Yarrowia lipolytica: one gene and its partners. The main gene of each other region encodes a partner of the protein of the gene in region 3 in a complex. Links are inferred from orthologs where the notes say so. Each region holds a gene or a part of one and is shown on either strand. Other genes may lie near its edges.

Evidence for each region.
Region 1: the proteins of YALI1_A20849g (region 3) and YALI1_F37998g are in contact, whole or in part, in a crystal structure (PDB 4M78), measured with the Saccharomyces cerevisiae proteins. The link is inferred for Yarrowia lipolytica from reciprocal best matches to the Saccharomyces cerevisiae genes LSM4 and LSM7. Residues at the interface, in NP_011037.3 of Saccharomyces cerevisiae: Glu23, Asn31, Val32, Asp33, Asn37, Leu38, Thr39, Glu45, Leu66, Glu68, Ile69, Tyr70, Ile71, Arg72, Phe75; in NP_014252.2 of Saccharomyces cerevisiae: Ile27, Leu28, Lys32, Tyr33, Arg39, Lys41, Leu58, Met59, Gly96, Thr97, Leu99, Val100, Ser101, Leu102, Ser103, Ser104.
Region 2: YALI1_A20849g (region 3) and YALI1_B14686g share a complex: the UniProt entries of both Saccharomyces cerevisiae proteins name them as parts of the spliceosome U4/U6-U5 tri-snRNP complex. The link is inferred for Yarrowia lipolytica from reciprocal best matches to the Saccharomyces cerevisiae genes LSM4 and LSM3.

The regions. Positions count from the first base shown.
Region 1 is NC_090775.1:3,796,117-3,803,623, forward strand, and holds YALI1_F37998g (uncharacterized protein), read right to left. Parts: upstream 3,771-7,507; coding exon 3,744-3,770; intron 3,691-3,743; coding exon 3,220-3,690; downstream 1-3,219. Other genes in the region: YALI1_F37963g (90S preribosome/SSU processome component KRR1), read left to right, coding at 234-1,313; YALI1_F37986g (uncharacterized protein), read right to left, coding at 1,386-2,573; YALI1_F38013g (uncharacterized protein), read right to left, coding at 4,446-5,213. UniProt on the Saccharomyces cerevisiae protein: Component of LSm protein complexes, which are involved in RNA processing and may function in a chaperone-like manner. Component of the cytoplasmic LSM1-LSM7 complex which is involved in mRNA degradation by activating the decapping step.
Region 2 is NC_090771.1:1,464,023-1,471,169, reverse strand, and holds YALI1_B14686g (uncharacterized protein), read right to left. Parts: upstream 2,545-7,147; coding exon 2,428-2,544; intron 2,274-2,427; coding exon 2,106-2,273; downstream 1-2,105. Other genes in the region: YALI1_B14733g (uncharacterized protein), read left to right, coding at 1-1,754; YALI1_B14680g (mitochondrial 54S ribosomal protein uL29m), read left to right, coding at 3,148-4,170; YALI1_B14658g (uncharacterized protein), read right to left, coding at 4,605-5,333; YALI1_B14645g (uncharacterized protein), read left to right, coding at 6,619-7,147. UniProt on the Saccharomyces cerevisiae protein: Component of LSm protein complexes, which are involved in RNA processing and may function in a chaperone-like manner. Component of the cytoplasmic LSM1-LSM7 complex which is involved in mRNA degradation by activating the decapping step.
Region 3 is NC_090770.1:2,081,795-2,089,186, forward strand, and holds YALI1_A20849g (uncharacterized protein), read right to left. Parts: upstream 3,178-7,392; coding exon 3,175-3,177; intron 3,078-3,174; coding exon 2,691-3,077; downstream 1-2,690. Other genes in the region: YALI1_A20822g (uncharacterized protein), read right to left, coding at 1-424, 520-594; YALI1_A20839g (uncharacterized protein), read right to left, coding at 1,730-2,099, 2,148-2,257; YALI1_A20855g (uncharacterized protein), read left to right, coding at 3,642-5,540; YALI1_A20884g (uncharacterized protein), read right to left, coding at 5,627-6,586; YALI1_A20902g (uncharacterized protein), read right to left, coding at 7,156-7,392. UniProt on the Saccharomyces cerevisiae protein: Component of LSm protein complexes, which are involved in RNA processing and may function in a chaperone-like manner. Component of the cytoplasmic LSM1-LSM7 complex which is involved in mRNA degradation by activating the decapping step.

The DNA of each region.
Region 1 (7,507 bases), on a different chromosome or scaffold from region 3:
CTGTGGTTGTGTTGTATGGCAACGCCTCTCAAAATATTTCTCTTTAGGTGGTTCAACGTGCATAAACTTAATTTTGGTGTGTGCCACCTCTAAACTAATTTCCCAAGTAGCTATTGATTACCTAACTACTAATTCCAATCCGCCAAACTCTGATAGAAAAAAAATTGAGTTTTCATGCGACAAATTTATCTCGTCCAAGGTAGACAGTTTCACGACACACTACACAGCCGACAATGGTCTCTACTCATAACAAAGACAAGCCATGGGATCAGCCCCACATTGATAAGTGGGCCGAGGATGAGTTCACCGAGAAGGACAACGCTTCCGGTCTGCCCTTTGCCGAGGAGTCTTCCTTCGCCACACTGTTCCCCAAGTACCGAGAAGGCTACCTAAAGGAAATCTGGGATGATGTCACCAAAGCCCTCGACCAAAAGGGTATTGCATGTGTTCTGGATCTCGTTGAGGGTTCCATGACCGTCAAAACCACCCGAAAAACTTACGATCCTTACGCCATTATGAACGCTCGAGATCTCATCAAGCTGCTGGCCCGATCGGTGCCTTTCCCCCAGGCAGTCAAGATTCTCGAGGACGGCATTGCATGTGACGTTATCAAGATTGGTAACTTCACCAGCAACAAGGAGAGATTTGTCAAGCGACGACAGCGTCTTCTTGGACCCAACGGTAACACTCTCAAGGCCCTGGAACTGCTCACACAGTGCTATATCCTTGTTCAGGGTAACACCGTCTCTGTCATGGGTCCCTACACACATATGAAGACTCTGCGACGAGTGATTGAGGACTGTATGATGAACATCCACCCCATTTACCACATCAAGGAGCTCATGATCAAGCGAGAGCTGGCCAAGCGACCCGAGCTAGCCGAGGAGGACTGGAGCCGTTTCCTGCCCCAGTTCAAGAAGCGAAATGTTGCTCGAAAGAAGCCCAAGACCATCAAGAACAAGGTTCGAACCGCTTTCCCTCCTGCCCAGCTGCCCCGAAAGGTGGATTTGCAGATCGAGTCTGGAGAGTTCTTCTTGGGTGCCGATGAGAAGCGACGACGAGCCGACGAGGAGAAGCGACAACAGCAGGCTGCTCGAAGTGCAGAGAAGCAGGCCCAGAGAGAGCTGGCCTTCATTGCGCCAGACGAGGACGAAGAGAAGGCCAAGAAGGAAAAGAAGAAGGAGAAGAAGGAAAAGAAGGAAAAGAAGGAAAAGAAGGAGAAGAAGGAGAAGAAGGAGAAGAAGCGAAAGAGCGATGACAGCGACGATGAGGGAGAGAAAAAGAAGAAGAAGAAGAAGCGATCCGTGGAGTAGCTTGCTTGTTCAGTAAAATAGATTTGTAATGCATAACTTGGTTAAAATAAATTAACTAGCTAGGCTAGAGAGCTATTCTAAAGTGCACCAACCTCGACCATCATTAACCTGGTAGTTACACAGTCCAGGCTCAAGCCAGAGACTGACTAGACCAGCAAGAACAATACCGGCAGAATCACTCATACCAACACTACCAAGAGCAAACTCTCGCTCTGCCAAATCAGCCTGTTCGGTAATCAGCAGAAAGGTGTTGACATAGGCAGCTCCCCCAAGCAGCCCTTCGTAGAATATGAGAATGAACACCAGCCAGACGTTGGGTAATATCGGTGACATAGACTGTGCAATGCAAAACACGAGGTTGGCAAACTGGAGCACTGAGGGGATCATAATTCGTCTAATTCTCACAAATGGTGCACTCGAACGTGAGATAAATACTCCCAACTGGTATAGTGTTCCATAGGTCACATAGACATCTCTGAACTTAGAAAAGGGCAACTCTTCCATGGGAAACAGAAGTGTGGGTGCCACTCCCTGGTTGATGGTGTACTCGGAAAAGTAGACCAGAAACAAAGGCAGCATGTAAGGCATAACCAGCGGCTTCAAACGGACCATTGTAGTTTCGTATCCAGAAGCAACAAACTCCCAGGTGATTGGCTGTGTTTCAATACCTGTTTCAGGGTCATTGCTGTGCACAGGGAAGGCCCCTGGTACACGGTTATAATCTCTAGGAGGAAGGAGATAGAAGTAGACTCCTAAGAAGGCCAGGGGAAAGAATGCAAAGACAAGCAATGACGTCTTGACTGAAACTCCGAGTACCGTGGTCAAGAGCATGAACAGCCCGCTACCCACTAGCCCTGCACCTCCAGTTCCGCTGCTCCACCCATTGAGAGCCCTGGTATCGTAAAAATGGGTTAATTGGAGAAAGGTGACCTCGCCCAGACCGGAAGAGAAAGAAGCCAGCACCACTCCCACGAGTTTGAGAAACAGAGGAGATGCTAGTGACACAGACATCATTCCCACAGTTGACAGGCCAACCAGCAATGTTATTCGGCGGTTATAGGGGATTTTGTGGATAAAAAATGGTGCTGCCAGCTTTATCAAGAACGATGGGAGTACGTCGGCCAGTAACACCACGGCCTTGGGTGTTTGAGGTCCCACCAGGTCTACTGCGGCGGTCAAGATAACCACATAGAGCACGTTGTTGACCAACCCAAATGTCCAAAATGCGGCGTACACAAGATGAGCAGGTTCTAGTTGCATTATGGTTGCTGAAATGTTCAATTCCTTGACATGAGTGTGTCAGTGACTTTTCGAGTATGGCCGTCGCTGGGTGGCTGGAGAAGTGTGACTGGTTGTTTATCAGTGAGTGTCGCTGTTCTGTGAAGCCAATTATCCCAACACGCATGGGACAGGCAAGTCTAATATGTGGAAGTGTGTGGTGTGTGGAGGGCGTGAATATGTGCATACAATAGCTCGATACATTACTAATCGAAATCGATATATTAACCCTTTATCCATTCGATAAGCACCATTATTGTACATTCTAATGGTAAACACGCCCCCGTTTCTACTGACTACAAGTAGTAAGACTACAAGTAGGGGTGGCGTTGGGTCGTGTGAGTGAACCCAGAGCATGGCGTAGTCAGCCCTATCACATACAGTACACTACAGCACGTAGCTACTTGAAACCATTGCAGTTTATAGATTATAACTAGAAATTCAGTACATGTACGAAGAGTATGTCGGGTCATTACACTGTTCAATACCTGCTCCGAGCCGAACATATCATTAACTTATCCCAGTACATACTGTACACCTCTGATGGCGCCCCATTACAATTGCTAAGAAAAACGACAGCAGCATCTCACTTCCACCACAACATAATATACACTCTATTACTATCCAATTAAATAGTGACCTCGGGCTTGGGCTCCACCTCAACTCCCTCTCCTCCGTCAAGAGGGTAGATAGAAAGCAGGTTAGGGCCTCGAATGACCGCCAGACCGATCTCTCGCACCTTGCCTTCCTTTTGACCCTCAAACTCGGCAAAGTCCTCGCTCTCCTCGTCCTCGTAAATGGTCTCCTTGACGTCGTCGAGAATCAAGTTCATGAGCTGATCCCAGCCCTTTAAGGTGCCCTCGATCTTTCGGCCAGTGACCTTGACAACCACTCGCTTGTTCTCGAATCGAGACAGATCTAGAATGGGCTCTCGCTTGGGGAATTCCAGCTTCTTGGACTGGCCCTGGTTCTGACCTTGGCCCTGGCCCTGGTTCTGGTTGTTCTGCTGCTGCTGATTCTGTTGGTGTTGCTGATTTTGGTGCTGGTTGTGTCCTCCATAATGGCCAGCGTTGCCATGGCCGCCTCGGCCGCCTCGTCGCTGTTGTTAGTACGTGTGAATGGATGGCTGAGCCTTCGATCCGCTATACTCACTCCTCCACGGTTGTCGTGTCGGTCCATTATTGATGATGATGAAGAGTTGTCAACCTGTGCGTTAGGTTATGAGAGAGAGCTAGTCCCAGGAAGTTTAATTTGGGGGTGTGGAAGGTGAAGTGTTGATAATACGACAGTTGGTAAGCTGAATATATACGAGTCTGGTCTCATTTGGAAGCTACTCGTCCCCTTAATACATCAACATAGATATCTTATATAGATGTTATGACTTTCGAAAGATTACCCTCTAAAATTCTCAACTTCACACCAACAACCCCGTTGGTGACCCGCCAGAATACTCCTAATATCAGCCCTCATTCCGAGTTGAAAGATATTCTGTCTCTCCATGATATGGGTCTTCTTTTTCGTTCATCTTGGAGTCCATTTTTTCGTTTTCAATCTGAGACTTAGGTTATGAGTACATACCCCAGGGGCGCAACTTTATTCCCGCTTGTTCTACAATATTAAGCTATTGTACCCATTATTAGTCAAACATTAGGCGACCAAGTGGATTGATTTCTGTTCAAGAAACAAAGACCGAACAAAATGTGACATCCGTATTCCATTTATTGATTAGTTTTGTTTACATGAGCTTAGTGTTTCAGGCAATTTCACAAACAAAATCTGTTAACGGAAAAAATACTATAATTAAAGTTATTTGAGAAATGAAGACATCCTGAACAATATGGTTGGCATAATTGTTTAGTTGGTGAGAAGACCCTGGAGTCGAGAGTTAAGACCAACAAGCATAGAAGCATCCTGTCGGAAACCGGGGATAATGTCTGCGAGCAGGTTACCGGCCTGGTTGATAGTAGCGATGAGGCCCTTGATGTCATCGGCAAAGGTGTTGACCAACTTGTTCTGAGAGATGACAGTAGAAAGAGTGATCAGGAAGAGACCAAGGTTGGTAATGAAGGCATTCAGGCCAGTGGAGATGAACATGTTGACGAGAACCTTGGTCCAGCCAGCAAGTCCATTGTAGTTCTGCAGCCACTGGATGAGCTGGTTGAGAGCTCCCTTAGCCTGGAGGATGGCCTGGGTGATAGCAGCGTTGGCCTGCTGGGGGGAAACGTTCTTGAGAGCCTGGATGGAGTTCAGGAAGAGAGATACACCAGCGTTGGTGAAGCTCTGGAAGACGTTGAAGAGAGAAATCCAGTCCTGAGCAGCTCGGGCGTCGAGGGCAACAGCATCGTCAACGAATCGCTTGGCGATCTCGCTGTTTCCGCCGAAGTGAGCCTCGACAACCTGTCGCATCTGGATGAGGCCAGCCTCCTCAGGAGCGGGGGCAGCGAGGGCAAGAGTAGCCATGGAGGCAACGGCGAGCTTGGTGAAAGAGACCATTGGTAATGTGTTGATTGGAGTGAATAGAAGAGAGAAGAGAAGAAAGGGTAGTTGTTTTCTGGATATTCGAGAGGAGGATTTCGGTGGTTTATATAGAGTCCTGGAAACAGGGTATCCATTCAATGCCATTGTATCCCACAGCACCTTGTATGACAAGGTATGGCTGAGTTAGAGTCCCGCTACTGCAGAGACACGGAATTTGTGCGTCAGACCCATAGGCAACAAAGAGCTCGTTTAGGTGACTACAGGTCTATGGTTTGAGTCTACTTACCTCGGTAGGCAGTGTAAAGCCGGTTTTGGAAGGTGTCTATCCGACTCGGCGGACTTGGATGCTCACCCAAGACAGATGTGTTGCATTGTTGAGCTTTGCTTCCAGGTACCTACATTGTACATACGAAGAATGGGTGTTTCATAAGAATCGCACACTACAAGTAGCCAACGTTGTTGATCACCGCGTTGGTTGACGTGGTTAGGGCGGTCAGTGCTAAAGCTATACCTTGAGCTTCTCAGTCCCATGGTTAGGTATCCAAATACCAACTTCAACACACCCCTGCAATGTCACTTTGACTTTTTGGTGGATACTTACAGAGAACTATGAAGATTCAGGGAGCTGAGTGGCCTGAGATGGATCGTAGGGACCTTCCAATGTGCCTGGCTGCTCTCTTAGAGACATTTCTGTCATTTTTTACATATACGCCACAATTATAATAGGAGAGCAACGTAAGTATGTCTGTATAATAGTTATAGCGTGTAGGCGATTTCTGTCTCAACATCAAGACGCCATGTTTGTCTGTTCCGACCACTCTTAAGCTACGGTACTACTTTGCTTGTCGAAAGGTGTAACGAGCTGTACGTTCAGACTAACGAAAGACTGCACGGAAGTTCTACTACAAAATATAGCGAAAACTAGTAGTAGCATTGCTCAAGAGATGTGCACCTGTAAGTTGACAGAACGCACCCGCCGGATTGATGACCCCATGATCTTTGTAACCCTACTGATTCGGGCCACACCTTAGCACTAAAGGTGGATCTCCATGTACGATTAAACCTAACTGCTATGTGCGCCTGATCAATGCAACTGTGTCCGATGGATTTGTGTTGCTGACGTGAAAGTCGCATCCACGAAACTAATGCCGAAACGGTCTCGTTTTGCCGCATTGTCTGTAAATAAACCGCAACGGATACTTACTTGCAACCACGGGGGCAGATATGGTGTCCCATCTTGTTTGCAGCCCACAGTAGTATGCAAGTCGAGACTTTGGCTGCAGCGACTCCTGAACCTTGTCCCAACGCCATCAATCAAACAATATCGAACAAACAACCACATAACAAGCGCTTCTGTAAGCGTGCAACCATGTTTGGTTGACATATTTCGCTATAAAATGTGGGGTATCCTCTCCTCACTTCTTTTGCACTCTATTTCTGTTTTTTCGCCCACTCAACTCTCGTTCCAATATGCCCACGTTATGCCTTGCAACCCCGGTTTTAACCAAGGGTTTGCAACCGAAACCCTATCCGGATATGTAGCTTGTTGGATCTGGGATGTGAACATGGTGCCCTGTCAGTTACAAAATAGTGTCTTGGTACAATACAACAGTTTTCTACAGGTGACAGTTCACCGCATTAATTGACTGCTTGTAGCTTGACACCACCGCAGCCGTCGAGAATCCACAGGAGGTCATCAACCGTATCTGGGGATCGTCAGTGATCAGCCAGATTTACGATGACTTTCACACCTTGTTGAGCGGTCGACTCTGGTCATAGAGCGTACATTAACCATAATACAAATCTATTGCGGACATTTATTACCACCCTCCTCTAGTCAGGTACAATTGACTACTGTAGCTATGGCGTCGGCTTTGTTGGTGTGGCTTCCATACGCTAGCAGTCATCATCAGAGCAACAACGCCGGAAGTCTACAAGTGTCGTTTATTCGTTCTCTTAGTCTGGAATGAAATGGTACCAACTGTCAGTCTAAACCGAACACCCCACCGTCAGTTATCGTGGTATTGTCACCAATTGGCCGTTCGAGGGTTACAATGAACGTTAGCATCATTCTCGAGCTAGCGTGTTTCCCGTTCCGTACGGTGTCCATTCCTACTCTCGAGCATATGCGTAGCAATTCTCACATTCACGTTGATATCCACTCGGTAACTGCTTTGTTCAATCCCTACATGCTGTCTCAAACCATGTGCAGGGTGGCTGTTTCAGTGATACGGTGGGCCTGTCGAGCCCTGCATCTTAGGGTTCCGTTAGTGCTTCACTAAAGGGCGCTTAAAAATCCGTCTCTTCCTGGCCGCCTTAGATTGAGATCGTCGTCGCCATATTGTATTTTTGAATTCGGTGGATGTATTGCCTCTTGAGAATCCTTCTCCATTTCTTTGTCGCTGGTTTTCAGTTAAACATTTTGCGGGGTCATAGAC
Region 2 (7,147 bases), on a different chromosome or scaffold from region 3:
TTCCCAGAGCTCTGTTTGAGTCTTTGGCCCTCCACTACCCCAGTATCACCTTTGAGATCTCCCGAATTGTGGCTTCACGAGTCCGTACTCTAATGGAAGACTCCGCTCCGATTCCCCGACGAATGCACACCTTTGATATGGCTGCCCACCATGATAGTTACTTGACTATCGCTGTTGTTCCCATCTCTCAGGATGTTGATGTGAGTGAGTTTGGACGACGACTTTACAACGGTATGCAGGCGGTGGGACGAGAAGCGTGTCACTTGAACCATGCTTCTGTGCTTAACCATATGGGCAGACATGCTTTCAACCCTCTTGGTAAGTTGAAGCTGTCTGGTTTCCTTGATGACATTGAGGACCGGTACCAGACTGTTTTGTATGTTGCAGATACCCCTCCTGGTTCCTCATGGACCCATACTTGCATTTCTCAGGCTGATTGTGTTCTGCTTGTCGCTGACGCTCGTTCCGAGCCTGACATTGGTGAGTACGAACGTGTGCTGGTGAAGATGCGAACCACTGCCAGAACCGAGATGGTTCTCATTCACCCTGAACGATACGTTCCTCCTGGACTCACTAGTGCGTGGTTGAAGCCTCGAGTGTGGGTTCACACCCATCATCACGTTCAGATGGATCTTCCTCGTCATGAAGCTGATGTCCTGGCCAGTATCCGAAAGATGAAGCGAACAGGAACCCTCGCGAACCTCAAAAACAAGGTCCAAACGATCCAAGAAGAGTTCCGTTCCATGTACCGCCCCAAGGCTAACATCTATAGCACGTCTTCGGCCAACAAGGACGACTTCAATCGACTTGCCAGAATCCTCTCTGGACAAGCTATTGGACTTGTTCTTGGCGGAGGAGGAGCTCGAGGTATTTCCCATATTGGAATTATCAAGGCTCTCGAAGACTCTGGTATTCCTATTGATTTCGTGGGAGGTACTTCCATCGGTTCCTTCATAGGGGGGCTCTATGCCAAAGAATACGATCTGGTGCCCATCTATGGACGAGCCAAGAAGTTCTCTGGACGAGTATCTTCTCTTTGGCGTATGGCTTTGGATCTGACCTATCCTGCCACCTCATACACCACTGGTCACGAGTTCAACCGAGGAATCTGGAAAGCTTTTGGCGACTCCCGTATCGAAGACTTCTGGCTCCGATACTTCACTAACACGACAAACATTACTCATTCTAGAATGGAGATCCACACATCTGGATATGCGTGGAGATACATTCGAGCAAGTATGTCTCTTGCTGGTCTTCTTCCTCCTTTGACAGACAATGGATCTATGTTGTTGGATGGAGGTTATGTTGATAACCTGCCTGTTTCGGAGATGAAGGCTCAGGGAGCCTCCGTGGTATTTGCCGTAGATGTCGGATCTATCGACGATACCACTCCCATGAACTACGGTGACTCCTTGTCTGGTGCATGGGTCATGTGGAACCGATGGAATCCCTTTGGTCGACATCCTAATGTTCCCAACCTGGCAGAAATTCAGGCTCGGTTGGCATACGTATCATCAGTGGGTGCTCTTGAGAAGGCTAAGCACACCCCTGGCGTCATCTACATGCGTCCCCCCATTGACGATTTTGCTACTCTTGACTTCGCCAAATTCCTTGACATCTATAGGGTAGGTAACAAGTACGGCCACAAGTTCCTGACCGAGTTGCGAGAGGATGGCAAGTTTCCTGCTATCCCTGGAATGGAGAATGTTAAGACCAAACATAAGAGAACCATTGCCCGGCGAAATAGTATTTAGGGAGGTTCATCGTTCATCGTATATAAAATAGCTTGTATAAATAGATATACTGTCATAAATCGTGAGGTGAATGCTGGCGTAGTTGACATTTCTCCTATTTGTAATTGCAAGTAAAAGTATTTGTGATCCTGACTCTGTTAACCATTTTTGAAATTCTATAGACAACGGTAGCGACCTTGATGTTCTACTCAGAATAGGACGATCTATGCAGAACCTGTATATTGTCACAATCCTTACACCGCAATTTCATGCGAATACACCTAGGGGCGCCTGTTTCCAGACGTCCTCTAGCCAGGTTACGGCGCTCACAAGCTTGCACTATTCAAACCATCCATTACTATAATACATGCCCTAAGGTCGCTTCGGGGGGTTAGAGGTGACCAGAATGACCGAGTCTCCTCGAACAAAAAGCATTTCGCTCTTCTTCTTTCGGGCCTCCAGTTTTGGACTGCCCTCCACGTACTCGAAGACTGTTTCCTCTACGTTTCCAAGCACCATACTGCAGTGGATATCGTAGGCCTGGGTTAGTAACAGAATGGACTAGGACAGGTCATTAGCGGACAGCAACAGACATTACATTTACACATGTATCATGTTCAGTGGATATGTATCCGATTCATACCGATCTTGACTTGCCTGCCATCTTCTCATTGTCCTTCACATTGCTACTCACATGCAAAAGTCCATAAAGCTCTCGTCCTCCACGGAGCTTGACGAAAACGTTCTCGTTGAGAGAAAGACCAATGAGATCAAGGGGCTCAGAGCCGCCTGAAGTGTCGACGTCGGTCATTGTGATGTGTGGTGTGTCTGTCGATAGATGCTGATTAGTGTCTGAGATGGTGAGAGTATGGGGTTAGGGTAGGTTGGGAGGAGTGTAGAGGTGGCAGCTGGATGTGCAGAAGACGATGTGGTATTGGTATGATAGGAGGTAGTGGTTGCAACAGGGGATGTCGTTAGTGTAACTGATCTCTTAATAGGTGTCTAGTATGTCGCATGGTGGTCGGTCTATATAGCGTCAACACCGTTTCAGGTGACTGTAAGTATAGCACTAGTAGTGGGTAGAAATGTGAGTGGGTATAACTACATACTGTACCAGTAGAGAGAGAATATGGTGCCGAACATCACAAGGAAGAGGGACCATCATGTTTTGGAAGTCCTGACATTGAAAGAAGTCAGATGTTAAGGACTTGACATCTTTTTAATGAACAATTAGGTGCCCTGAAGACCATTTCTATTACTGATCCTCTCTACACGCGTCACATGACATGAAACCCTATTCTGCTAGCACCTACCGAGCGAAATTTGGGAGGTGAAATCCTGTGGGAGAATAAAGTTCCAGATTCCCAAGCGATTTTTTCAACTGACGACTGTATCCAACAGAACATACACAACCATGATCCGATCGCTACACACATCGGCTGTTCGACAGGGTCGTAAGAAGTGGCCCAAGCCGCTGCCCGGCTCCGTGACCGGCAACGAGTTTGTCAAAAAGCTGGAGCTCAAGGCCCCTATTGCGCCTGCTCTGGACAATATCGAGGTACCCGATTCGCATCCTCTGTGGCAGTTTTTTTGCAAGGACAAGAAAATTGTACGGGATCAGCGGAGCTTTGACAGCAGCACGCGACCCTGGAGTGTGGCCGAGCTGCGACGAAAGTCGTTTGAGGATCTCCATGCTCTGTGGTACGTGTGTCTCAAGGAGCGAAACATTCTTCTGAAGGAGGAACGAGTCACCACCCGAATGCACTTTGAGAACCAGAACGGTGGTTACAGAAGCGAGCATGACCGAGTCGGCGAAACCATGGTCAACATTCGACACGTACTGGCCGAGCGATACAGAGCGTTTGAGGAGGTCCAGCAGGTGCTTCCCGAGGTGCGAGCCCAGGCCAACGCCGAATTTGACGAAAAGTACGTCACTGCTGACGCCGTCTACGACAGCGAGCTGTCTCTGGAGCTCGAGCGACACCTTGTCGCCTACTACGGCTTCTCCACCGACCCCCGAGCCAACGCTGGCGTGCAGGTGGACGAGAAGATTATCGAGGCCGTCAAGTACGGTGCCAAGCTCAAGTACGAGCGATACAGCGGAGCCACCGACGAGAACGGCAATCCCATTGCCAACCACGGCTTTGTGCACCAGCCCAAGCGAGACATTTTTGAGCAGTACCTCATGTTCCTGGCTAATGACACCACCGAGGGAGTCGCCGAGGCCCTCAGCTACATCAAACAGTACCGAGAGTCCAACCCTCTGCCCGTGGCTCCCTGGAACGCCATCCGGGTGCTGCAACATCTTGTGGAGGAGAAGATGGGCGCCGCCGCCGTGTTTGAGGAGGCTCTGAAGAACAAAAAGTTGGATCTGTCCGAGCAGGACATTCTGGAGAACATTCCTGCCCAGTTCCTTAACAAGCTCCCCAAGGAGTGATGTATATAAGAGTCATGTATATAGTAACGATATGATAACAGATAGTGGGTAGTGTGTATGAGTGGGAGTAAATGTTGTATATGGGTACAACTGTACTACTGACGATAGTGTACAATTCATGAGTGTTACGGCTGATGAGAATGCTGTGTAGCCTGTCTGAGCGTACAAAGCCTTTCATGGAAGAGGATGTAACTACGGTTACCTCAACCTCCATTACAGTATGTACTTGTAGATCGAAACCATCTCCACTACGAGTACATTACAGTACATTACAGTATTGTCTGTCCAAAAGTACCCTACGCAAGTATTGGTTCATCATGACTTACTGAAATTAGTCATCAAATCGTCAAATGCAAATATATACAGTCTCTGAGTGGTAGAGGATTGCAATGGAGCTTGTCGCTTCTAACCACGGCTCGTTACGCTCTCCGCAGTTAGCCCTCAACAACATCATCAACATACCCCAACTTTTCCTTCCGGGCCTCTCGTCCTCCGTCAGGAATAGCTCCAAAACGGTTAAATGGCCACAGCACCTTGGGACACTTGCCATGCATGAGACCGAGTGACACTGGACCGAAGTTGTTGGAGTCGAACGAATGGATGTTGTCGCCCTCGACCCACACGTGGTTAAAGGGCACAAAGCACGTCTTTTGCGGGTACGGGTGGCGGGTCACAATCTCGTCGCCTCCCACTCCAAGAATCCGCTTGCACAAAAACTTATCCGGATCCATGGGGTTTCGCAGCAGCACCACGTCTCCGACCTTGAGGTAACCGGGCTGTTTGATTAGGAATTTCTGCAACAGCACAATGTCACGCTTGCCAAGATTTGAGTCGGGGTTCAGAGCAGGGGTCATGCTGTTGCCGCTGATATGGCCGAGAAAGTAGGCGTGGTCCAGAAAACATATTGCCACAGGGATCCATGTTGACCAGATGAACAATCTCATAGCCGGTTTCTGGCGCAGTGCCGCCCACTTGCGCGACTTTTGCGCAAACCAATCCTGAAAGCCCATGCTGTTGAAAGAATGTGTCGTTCGTGGGTCTGTGCAGTGTGGTGTGTTCAATGTTCCATATGCATGGCGATGGTTTAAAACTGGGAATGAAATTTCCTGGAGTGAGTGAATGCTGGCGGCCAGAGAGTGATACCGATGTTGTAGAGAAGACATGATAACGAGGAAAGATGGATAGAAATTATCACCTTCGGATGCTTACATTGCGCAGAAAGCCAGAACACGTATGTGCTGTGACATCCGAACAATGGGGTATGTTCTGGTAAAACACTCCCTAAACGGATCACTTGCCATAACTTTACAGTATGTACTTTCTTAGTACATCTGCAATTTGAGAAAGAATGAGTGTGCACTAATCTCGGGATCTTAGAGCTATAATCTGGAACTTGGTAATATTTAATGACTATAAAACGAATTCTACCTAGCCTGTTGGATTTTTCTTTGTCATATTCTTTATCAGTGCCGGGATAGAAGTTTTTTTTTTTTTCTGCATATTTTGAACCCCCACATTACTAGTATCTTTACTAGACTTTCAACTATGACTTTCTCATAGTTGGAAAGTTGCTTAAGAATACAACCAACATTCTTCAGCAAACTTTGAACAGTATTCCCGTGTCAAGATTTTGTCGGATATACTGTGCCCTCTGGCCATTTGCACCCCGTCAACCTCTCTTTCGTGAGAAGCGCAAATACTGTACCTGCCACCAACCTCGTATAAGGTGCCATTTATAGTGGGGGTACAGTTTGCACTTTAAACGAGAGCTCGCTGATGGAGGTGAGTGGTAGAGAATCACTCTCTCAATAAGGAGGTCACATAAGTTGTCAAGTTCTACAAGTAGTTTCTGCAAGTAGTTCGTCACAACCAAAGGTATGCACTACCGTCATAAAATGTCACTGTCTCTGTCGATGGCAGTCAGTCATCTCCTGGTAACGAGCCAAGGTTCAACCGCCAGTCTTAACTCCGTTGCGGCTTGCTCAAAGTTCAGGAGCCGTGTCGGCTGGGGTTTTACCCCGGCATTGATGCATAAGAAGTATTATAGCGAATTTGAGAACAGCTTATATGAGGAACAGAGTCGATACTGCGATATGTGACCTTGTAAGTTCATATAGTAACTTGGTTTCACTTCATCACACTTATTGCAACACATTTGCCTGGTCTCCCACACAGGCTAGTACAACTGTAGCGAATTTACATTTGCAGCATTTATGCACAACAGGCACAAAGCAGCATGACTATTAAAATGTAGATCCATCCGTTCGGTATGGTATAACTCTTGCAAGAACATACACGACTGCCCAGAGCTTTATTATTTCTATTTCAGAGACACACAGAGACACAGAAACACAGAAACACTGACGGCGGCTCTCCAACTACTTGCTCTTCAACTCTCTTCTACGCGCATACTCAACAAAACTCCGATACAAGGCCGACCGGAACAGAATGGGAAAACTTGTCGACAAGTTGATGAAGGTCATAAACTTCTTGATCTCACAGTGGTTCATTATAGGCATGGGAGTAGCGGTTGCCATCGCATATGCCGCCCCGAACTACGCGAGATCAGGAGGTATGATCCGGTCAGATATTACCATCGAGTATCTGGCAGTAGCCGCTATTTTCCTCATTTCGGGGCTCAGCATGCCCTCTAGAACCCTGCTCAAGGAGCTGGGCAACTGGCGAGCACACTTAATAACACAAGGGCTATCATTTCTGGTCACACCTGCTCTCATGTTTGGTTTCGTTAAGGCTATCTACGCGGCTGACGATCCACGAATCGATAAATACGTGCTTGTGGGCATGATTATTTGCGGTTGCACACCCACAACGGTGTCGTCTAACGTCGTCATGACTAGAAATGCCGGGGGAAACGACTCGCTGTCGTTGTTGGAAGTCACTATTGGAAATGTCATGGGTGCATTCGTTTCTCCTGCTCTTCTGCAGCTCTATCTTTCTGACTCGACGGGTTTCGGGT
Region 3 (7,392 bases):
TGTCACAGAGGTACATGGCAGCCAGAGCCAGCACCGACTTATCGCACTGCATAGCCACAGACACGAGATAGACCGGGTACGGCAATCCCAGGGCATAGGTGAAGCAGGCCACTCCGACGGATGCCGTGGCCAGAATGGCACACATGTGTACTCCCCATACTCTTCCCTTTGCGTCGCTTGTCGACAAGATCTTGAAGGCCGTGTAGATCTGAACGAGCGTCGCTAATGCCACCATGATTTCAAACGTCGTATAGTGGGTATGGATGGCCGAAATCTGGCACACTTCGTCTGCGAGCGAGACTCCGGGTCCGGACGTGAGTCTCGGGAAAAATGCTCGGCATATTGATGTGAGGTGGAGTTGTGGTGACAGCTGGTTGTGGATTCCAAAAGCTACAAACGCGGGAGCTATGGTGGCCAGCAGAGTCTGTGTTAGATAGTCTGACATGTTTCTCCTTCCTGTTTGGTGCGACGCGTCTCATGCCATCGAGCATGTTTCTGTGCCCGCTCTCCGGTACTCACATTTGTCCGCTTGGCCGCGTAGGACCGACCAAAATCGTTGTTGCTCAGATACTGGACCACGTTGGTCCCCGTCATGATTATCTGACCGTAAGAGTTGGTTTCGAGGGCTGAGTCGAGACAAGGCTTTCAGGAGTCCATAAAGTTTTGGCAGAGTCGGCTGTAAAATAGTGTGAAGACAGTAAAATCGACTTTGGCGGTGGGGGTTCAAAGACCCAAGTAAGCGGATAAAATCCCGTATTTAAGCACTCGGACTCTTCCCCACAGCTCCATATATACATATTCCACTACGACCCTGTGCTATCACAGCCTCTCTGTGGTGCTAATCATCAATCTCTAATTTATTTTCTTCCTTTTCTGTTATCCGCTGTGCTGAGACTGAGACGCAAAAAGGTTCGATGAGGGGATCGATTACTGCGAAGAGCCTTGGACAAAAGTTTTTTAAGCAATTTGTTTAGCGTCTGCTTGTAGTTCGGCACACGCGTGACCCAGCCAGTGGCGCAGTAACCGCAGCAACACGCCCGCACGTTTACCGTTTCGACGGAAATAATGGGGCCACCGAAACCGCCGCTTTTGCCTGCGCAAAAAAAATTCAACTAGCACTGCAACATAACATATATAATATCGATAAAAGAGCTCGCCAAAAAGCGCTATGTTTTTCGGGTCTGCCTTGCTATGCTATTTTGGGAATCCTCCTGCCTATTTGGGTTGGGCCTGCTTGTGCCAGACCACAGCAGTAGACTACAGTAGACCGCGATATATATTTCATCAAGGTACAGTACATACGAGAGTTAGAATAATGAGTAGAATAATAAGAAAGGAAAATACAAAGCTTGGGTACAGCACCGTTACTCTTTGCAGCATGAGGCAAGCCTCCCAAATGCGCGACACAGTTGACCGCCGAATGCTTATCAAGACACTGTAGTTTCAGACCACATCCAACACATCGGGAAGAAGACCACCGAGCTGGGCCTCGGAAGAGCTTCCTCCAACGTTTAGATTGCTCTACGGAGGTACACACCACAAGAGTCTTTTAAACATATGGCTTATGGTTATTTCCTACATTATTGAGACGTTTAATTTCCGACCGACGGACCATGGCCAGTGCATTCGCTACAGTATGTACATACCACGTTTCATACATAGATGGGTCGTAGACTCCAGTGATGATAACAATGACATCAGTTTAGGTACAATGAACCACTGCGTGCAATCACAACGGACCCTTCCTCCCTCTAAAACCACTGTGATAGTCTACTTGTGGGATCCCCTCATATAAACCCCATGACGAGCCAGATAAACACCGCAATCCGAGCAACTGTAACTTCGTACTATTCTGCGTTGGATGTGAAGTGAAAGTCTCGAACAGTCGCTTGTGGCAGGACGGCGAGTAGGAGTTAGAGCAGTTCCATATGACCGGATATCTGAGAACAATTCGCGCGAGCACACGGGTACGAATACGAGAGATATCAACCACAACCTGGCAGTGGAAGACTTGGTTGCTATAGCTAGACTTCGTATGACTGATAGCAATGACAAGTATGTACAATACTGTAGCAACTAACAAATATGGCGATAATGGACTGCAGTAAATAGCTACAGAATTCTGCTCCGAAACTCACTGAGTGTACAAGAATCGGTATTGGTGTTGTATGATGGTAGAAGGTAACCATTGTAATGCATCTACAAAGACTTTCAACGACGACGAGGATCCAACATCCAACTTTTTTATCACACACATGTTCCACGATAAGTTTCCTTCTATAGCTAGTCAGGCACCACCAATTACTACTTGTAAAATAGAATGGAACTCTCAACAGAAGCTACTTCCACGGGCACCTGTACTTGTACTGGTACAGTTCTGTCCACGTGATCACTTACATTCGAATGAGAACTTGTGGCGACACAGAGAAAGCAACCAAATCATCCAAGTACGTACAAAGCCTGTCCCCCTACGTAAGCCGATTGTACTCAATTCCATCACCGCCACTCGTCTACAGCTACTACTATCTCCACCTACAATCCCCTAGATCAATCATCTCCTAAAATACATTACTAATCGGCAGAATGGCGGCTATCAAGCGGAACTTCACACATGGTAGCCATCTGCAGATCGGGGAAGGTCGTGGCCTTCGGTAGCCAGCGCTCGCGTTCAAACATGGACACAAACACGTCTAATATCGTCGTCCTCCACCTCGCTGTCGCTGGTTGGGGTTGTTGCTCTGGTTGTTGTAGTTTCGGTTGCCTCGTCGGTTGCCAAACTGGCCGCCCTGCTCCAGCTGCTGCTGTCGCTGTCGCTGTTCCCGCTGCTGGCTGTATTGTTGCTTGATGCTGTGCAGTAGCTCGTCTGGCAGCTGGAGAGCCTTGATGTTGGAGCCTCGTACATAGTACTCGGACACGGTGGCGGTGTTTTCGCCCGATGCAGAAAACTCTTCGACCTCCTTGAGCGTGAGGTTCATCCAGTGGTCACATTTCAACAGGTGGCCTCTCAGGGACTCGCCCGATTTGAGCTCCACCAGCATGGGCTGACCCTGTGCTGCGTTGAGTAGGGATAAGGGTAGCTGCGTTAGTCATGGTCTGTCTGCCCACGGTTGGGCCGGTGCGTATCGCATCGAGAGGGGCCCACGTGAGCCCCAGGACGCCTGTATCAATACTCACCATCGATGTGGATTATGGTGACAGTTGGTGCTGGCGGTGAAAAAGCATATTTTGGGGCTAGGGTTGGGTGATGATGGTTTAGGTGTGTGCTTGTGGTGGGAACTATTACGTAACCTGAGCTGTAAGGACTCAGGTGCACACCAATTGGGAATTGCCGCAGGGATAAGACGATAATAGAAGTAAGGCGGAGCGCCAGGGGCAGGCCATACGAGATTTATATAGAGAAAAAAAAAAGCAACCCTCACACCCACGACATTCATTCTGTCACTGCCAAACAAGTATATATTTATATATCTCTAACCGCTGATCTGGCTCCCTCCCAGCTGGGACTCCAAATTACCCTCGCTACGATACTGCACACCCAGCCCACATACGGCTTTTCTCGTTGTCCAAAACAGCACATAGGGTAACTCGAAACCCGAAACCCATTATTGCGCCAACGCGACACGACGACGCACTACGCGACCATGTCCATCTACAAAGCAACGTATTCGGGCGTGCCCGTCTACGAGTTCCAGTGTAAGAATGTGGCCGTGATGCGGCGCAAATCCGACGGCTGGGTCAACGCTACCCACATCCTCAAGGTCGCTGGCTTCGACAAGCCTCAGCGAACGCGGATTCTGGAAAAGGAGGTCCAGAAGGGCGTCCATGAAAAGGTCCAGGGCGGCTACGGCAAGTACCAGGGCACGTGGGTCCCCCTGGAGCGGGCCAGAGAGATTGCCACGCTGTACGACGTTGATTCACACCTTGCGCCCATCTTCAACTACGACGACGAGGATGGCTCACCTCCTCCCGCACCGAAACACAGACCCAATCTGGAGCGCAAGAAGCGGACCAAGGTGACGGGATCGCCTCTGGTTCGCCAGCCCAGTCGCATGGAGACTCTCACCCAGTCAACGGGATCCACCATGGGAGGCACTCCACAACACTCTAGACAGTCGTCTCTCAGCCAACTGGCCCAGTCTTACGGACTGGACGACAGCGACCACGTGACTCCATCGCCTCCCACAGTTGCTGACGATTCGTCCGACTTCATGTCCGATGAAGAAGTTGACCGACAAATGGGTAACTACCCTCGACCCATGATGGCCAAGCCCAAGCCAATACAGGTACGGGACCCCAAGGATCTGTACACCAACGACCTGCTCAACTACTTCGTGTCTGCTGACGACGAGAAGATCCCCGCGTTCCTGGAAAACCCACCTGCAGAGTTTGATGTGCACAGACCCATTGACGAGGAGGGCCATACAGCGTTGCATTGGGCTTGTGCCATGGGCCACCTGCGGGTGATTGAGCTGCTGCTCAAGGCCGGATCGGACGTGCGAGCCACCAACATGTTTGGCCAGACACCTTTGACGAGGGCCATCATGTTTACTAACAACTACGACCGAAGAACCTTCCCTAAAGTGGTGGACATCTTGCAAGACACCCTGTTTCAGGTGGACGGCCAGGGCAGAACCGTGCTTCACCACATTGCCCAGCACGTGAGCAAGTCGCAGTCCGCGGCCAAGTACTACGTGACTATCTTGCTGTCAAAAATTAGCGAGAACCACTCTCTAGGCGTACTGTCACAATTCATGGACACGCAGAACAACGAGGGCGACACCGCCCTGCATATTCTCGCCCGTTCAGGTGCCAAAAAGGTGTCCCGTGCCCTCATGGACTTCAATGTCAAGACAGATATCGTCAATGCCGACGGTCGAACTGCGCTGGATCTGCTGGAGGGCGACAGACAGATGCAGCAACACCCGCCGCCCGCCATGGCACTCCACCATCAGCCTCCCTACCAGATGCTGCACGAGAGCGAAACTGCCATTGCCGCACACAATCTTGCCGGAACCGTAGTGCACAACCTGCAAGTGTTGGCTCACGCCTTTGATGCCGAGCTCAAGGAGAAGGACGCCGACGTGCAACAGGTGCGCCAGATGGCCACCAAGATGGAGGAAGACATTGCCGCTACCAACGAGGCGATCCGGGAGTATGAGGCCAAACATGGCACCGCCGAGGAGCTCGAGAAACTTGCCTCTGAGGCTGAAGAGCGTGTGACTACACGGGTGAACCAGCTACGCAAGGTGTTCGAGCGGTCACAGGCGAAGGGCCTTGCCATGCTTGTTGCCGAGGAGGAGCGGGAGATATCGCGTGAACAGACCAAGGGCGAGTTCAAGACCGCCAAGGAGCTGACAGACCTCCAGCATGGACGGAAGGATCTTGTGGACGACGTGGTAGAGCTGTTCGCCAATGCCGGGGTTGGCGAGAAGATGAACGAGTACAGACGGCTGGTGGCCATGAGCTGCGGTGTCAAGGTGGAGGATATCGACGGGCTTCTTGATGGAATCGAGAAGGCTCTGCTTGAGGGAGAGAGATAGTATGGGTCGGTCTAGGACGATGTAATTTAATGTACACTACGAGGTTATCTACTTGTGTATGTAATCTGACAGCAATATTTGGTTGTTTATTCGAGCTTTAGCCCCGCAAGATCATCTCCCAGAGACTCGATCTGTATTAGTTCAATCTCCTTATCAATGCTGGCAGTGGCAACGTAGCCATCACCAGCACTAATGCATCGCAATCTCGAACCTGCCACGTTTATCTTTCGCCACGTAGTCTGGTTGAGCAGTCGCACCGAGCCGTCGTCTCCAGCAATGGCGAGAGTCTTCTCGTCCAACCAACTAAGGCGTCCCAGACTGTACTTGTCTTGAGGAATCAAAGTAGGGAAGGAAACAACAGTGTCGTCAGACTTGACAATAATGACCCTTGCGTAGGGCGTATGGCTTGTGAGACAGGCAATCTCCTTGGTATCGTTGTTGTAGACCATGTCAAACACGGTGAATGAGTGGGGCATATAGTGGGCATCGACCAGAGGAATAGTTCTGAGCTTCTCCAATTGGTCGGAGAGAAGTTGAATCGAGGTACAGTCTTCTCGAGACACAGCCAGCCCATTACGAGTCCATGCAATCGCTGTGGGGTTAGTCAGTGAGTCAATGAACGCCACCTGTTCAAAGCCAACCTGCTTCGTGACCACCACCTTTTTATCGAAGCCAATGGACGCAATCAGTCCATCTTCAGAAACAGAGATTCCTCCGACAAACCGAGAATGTGGCTTGAAACTGCTGGGTTTGTATTCTGAATCCACCTGGACAATGGATCCATCCATGCATCCCACCAGAGTGGTGTTATTGGCTCCAGCAACGATGACTCGTCCTACAGCCGGTAAGGTGAGGTTCTTGACTTCCAGAAGAGTAGTATTGTAAAAGGTCAAGTTCTTGGTCGAATCTGTAGTGACAACTCTGCCACCGATGAGCTTTGTGTCCACAATCATGTTTTTCGACTTGGTTGACAGCACAGTCAGGGTGACGTCTTCCTCCGTGACTACATTGTCGTCTTTCTGTTCCTTTTTCGGCAGGTAGGTCATCAATCTGGGTTAGAAAAGGCAGAGAAAGGATGTACGCCACGAGAGGACAACATCGGGTTTGTCACTTGAAAGCACTATTTCGTCTATATCGTACTCACTCTTCAATGGTGACAGGTTCATCTTTGATATCACACTCCTCTTCAAAAGCAGCCAGGGTCTGGGTTAGTATCAAAGGGAGAACGATTGCGCCGTCGCATCACTCACATTGGTGTATCCCTTATCTTGGAGGTATTTGGCAATTAATCCATCCATGTTGTATGTAATCAGAAAAGGTCTAACCGTCACCAAGCTGCATGCCGTGATCTGGGTATTAGTAAAGTTTATCTAACCTGGAGTACCAACGTCAAGTAATCAGATTAAGAGTGCAATAAGTACGCAATCATGGTCACAACTACGGTACAGTACGCATCCAGTACATACAGCAATAGTACATAGTTGTACACAACAGTAACTACATTAAAATACACAGCCATAGTACAGTGTGAACACTACCGACATTCTCATTCTGTCCAAGTTTCAATAATTTTATTATCACCATACCCTTACCAGTCTCCCTTAAAATACAATTGTTAGCCAAACAGCTCATGGGCCCGTCGTCGGCCTCCTCCTCTTCGACGTCCGCCCTTGTCTCTCTCATCTCGAGGCTGGAACCGTGACGCCAGATCCTTGTTGTCTTCTCCGTCCATGTCAGTATCGAGTCTGGAGGCGATATCCTGTGAAGCATCGTCCCGTCGTCTCTCTCGTTTTTGGTTTTCTCTCTGTCGCGAAGACCGGCTCTCTCTAGGAAGATCCAGCCGTGTTCGGAT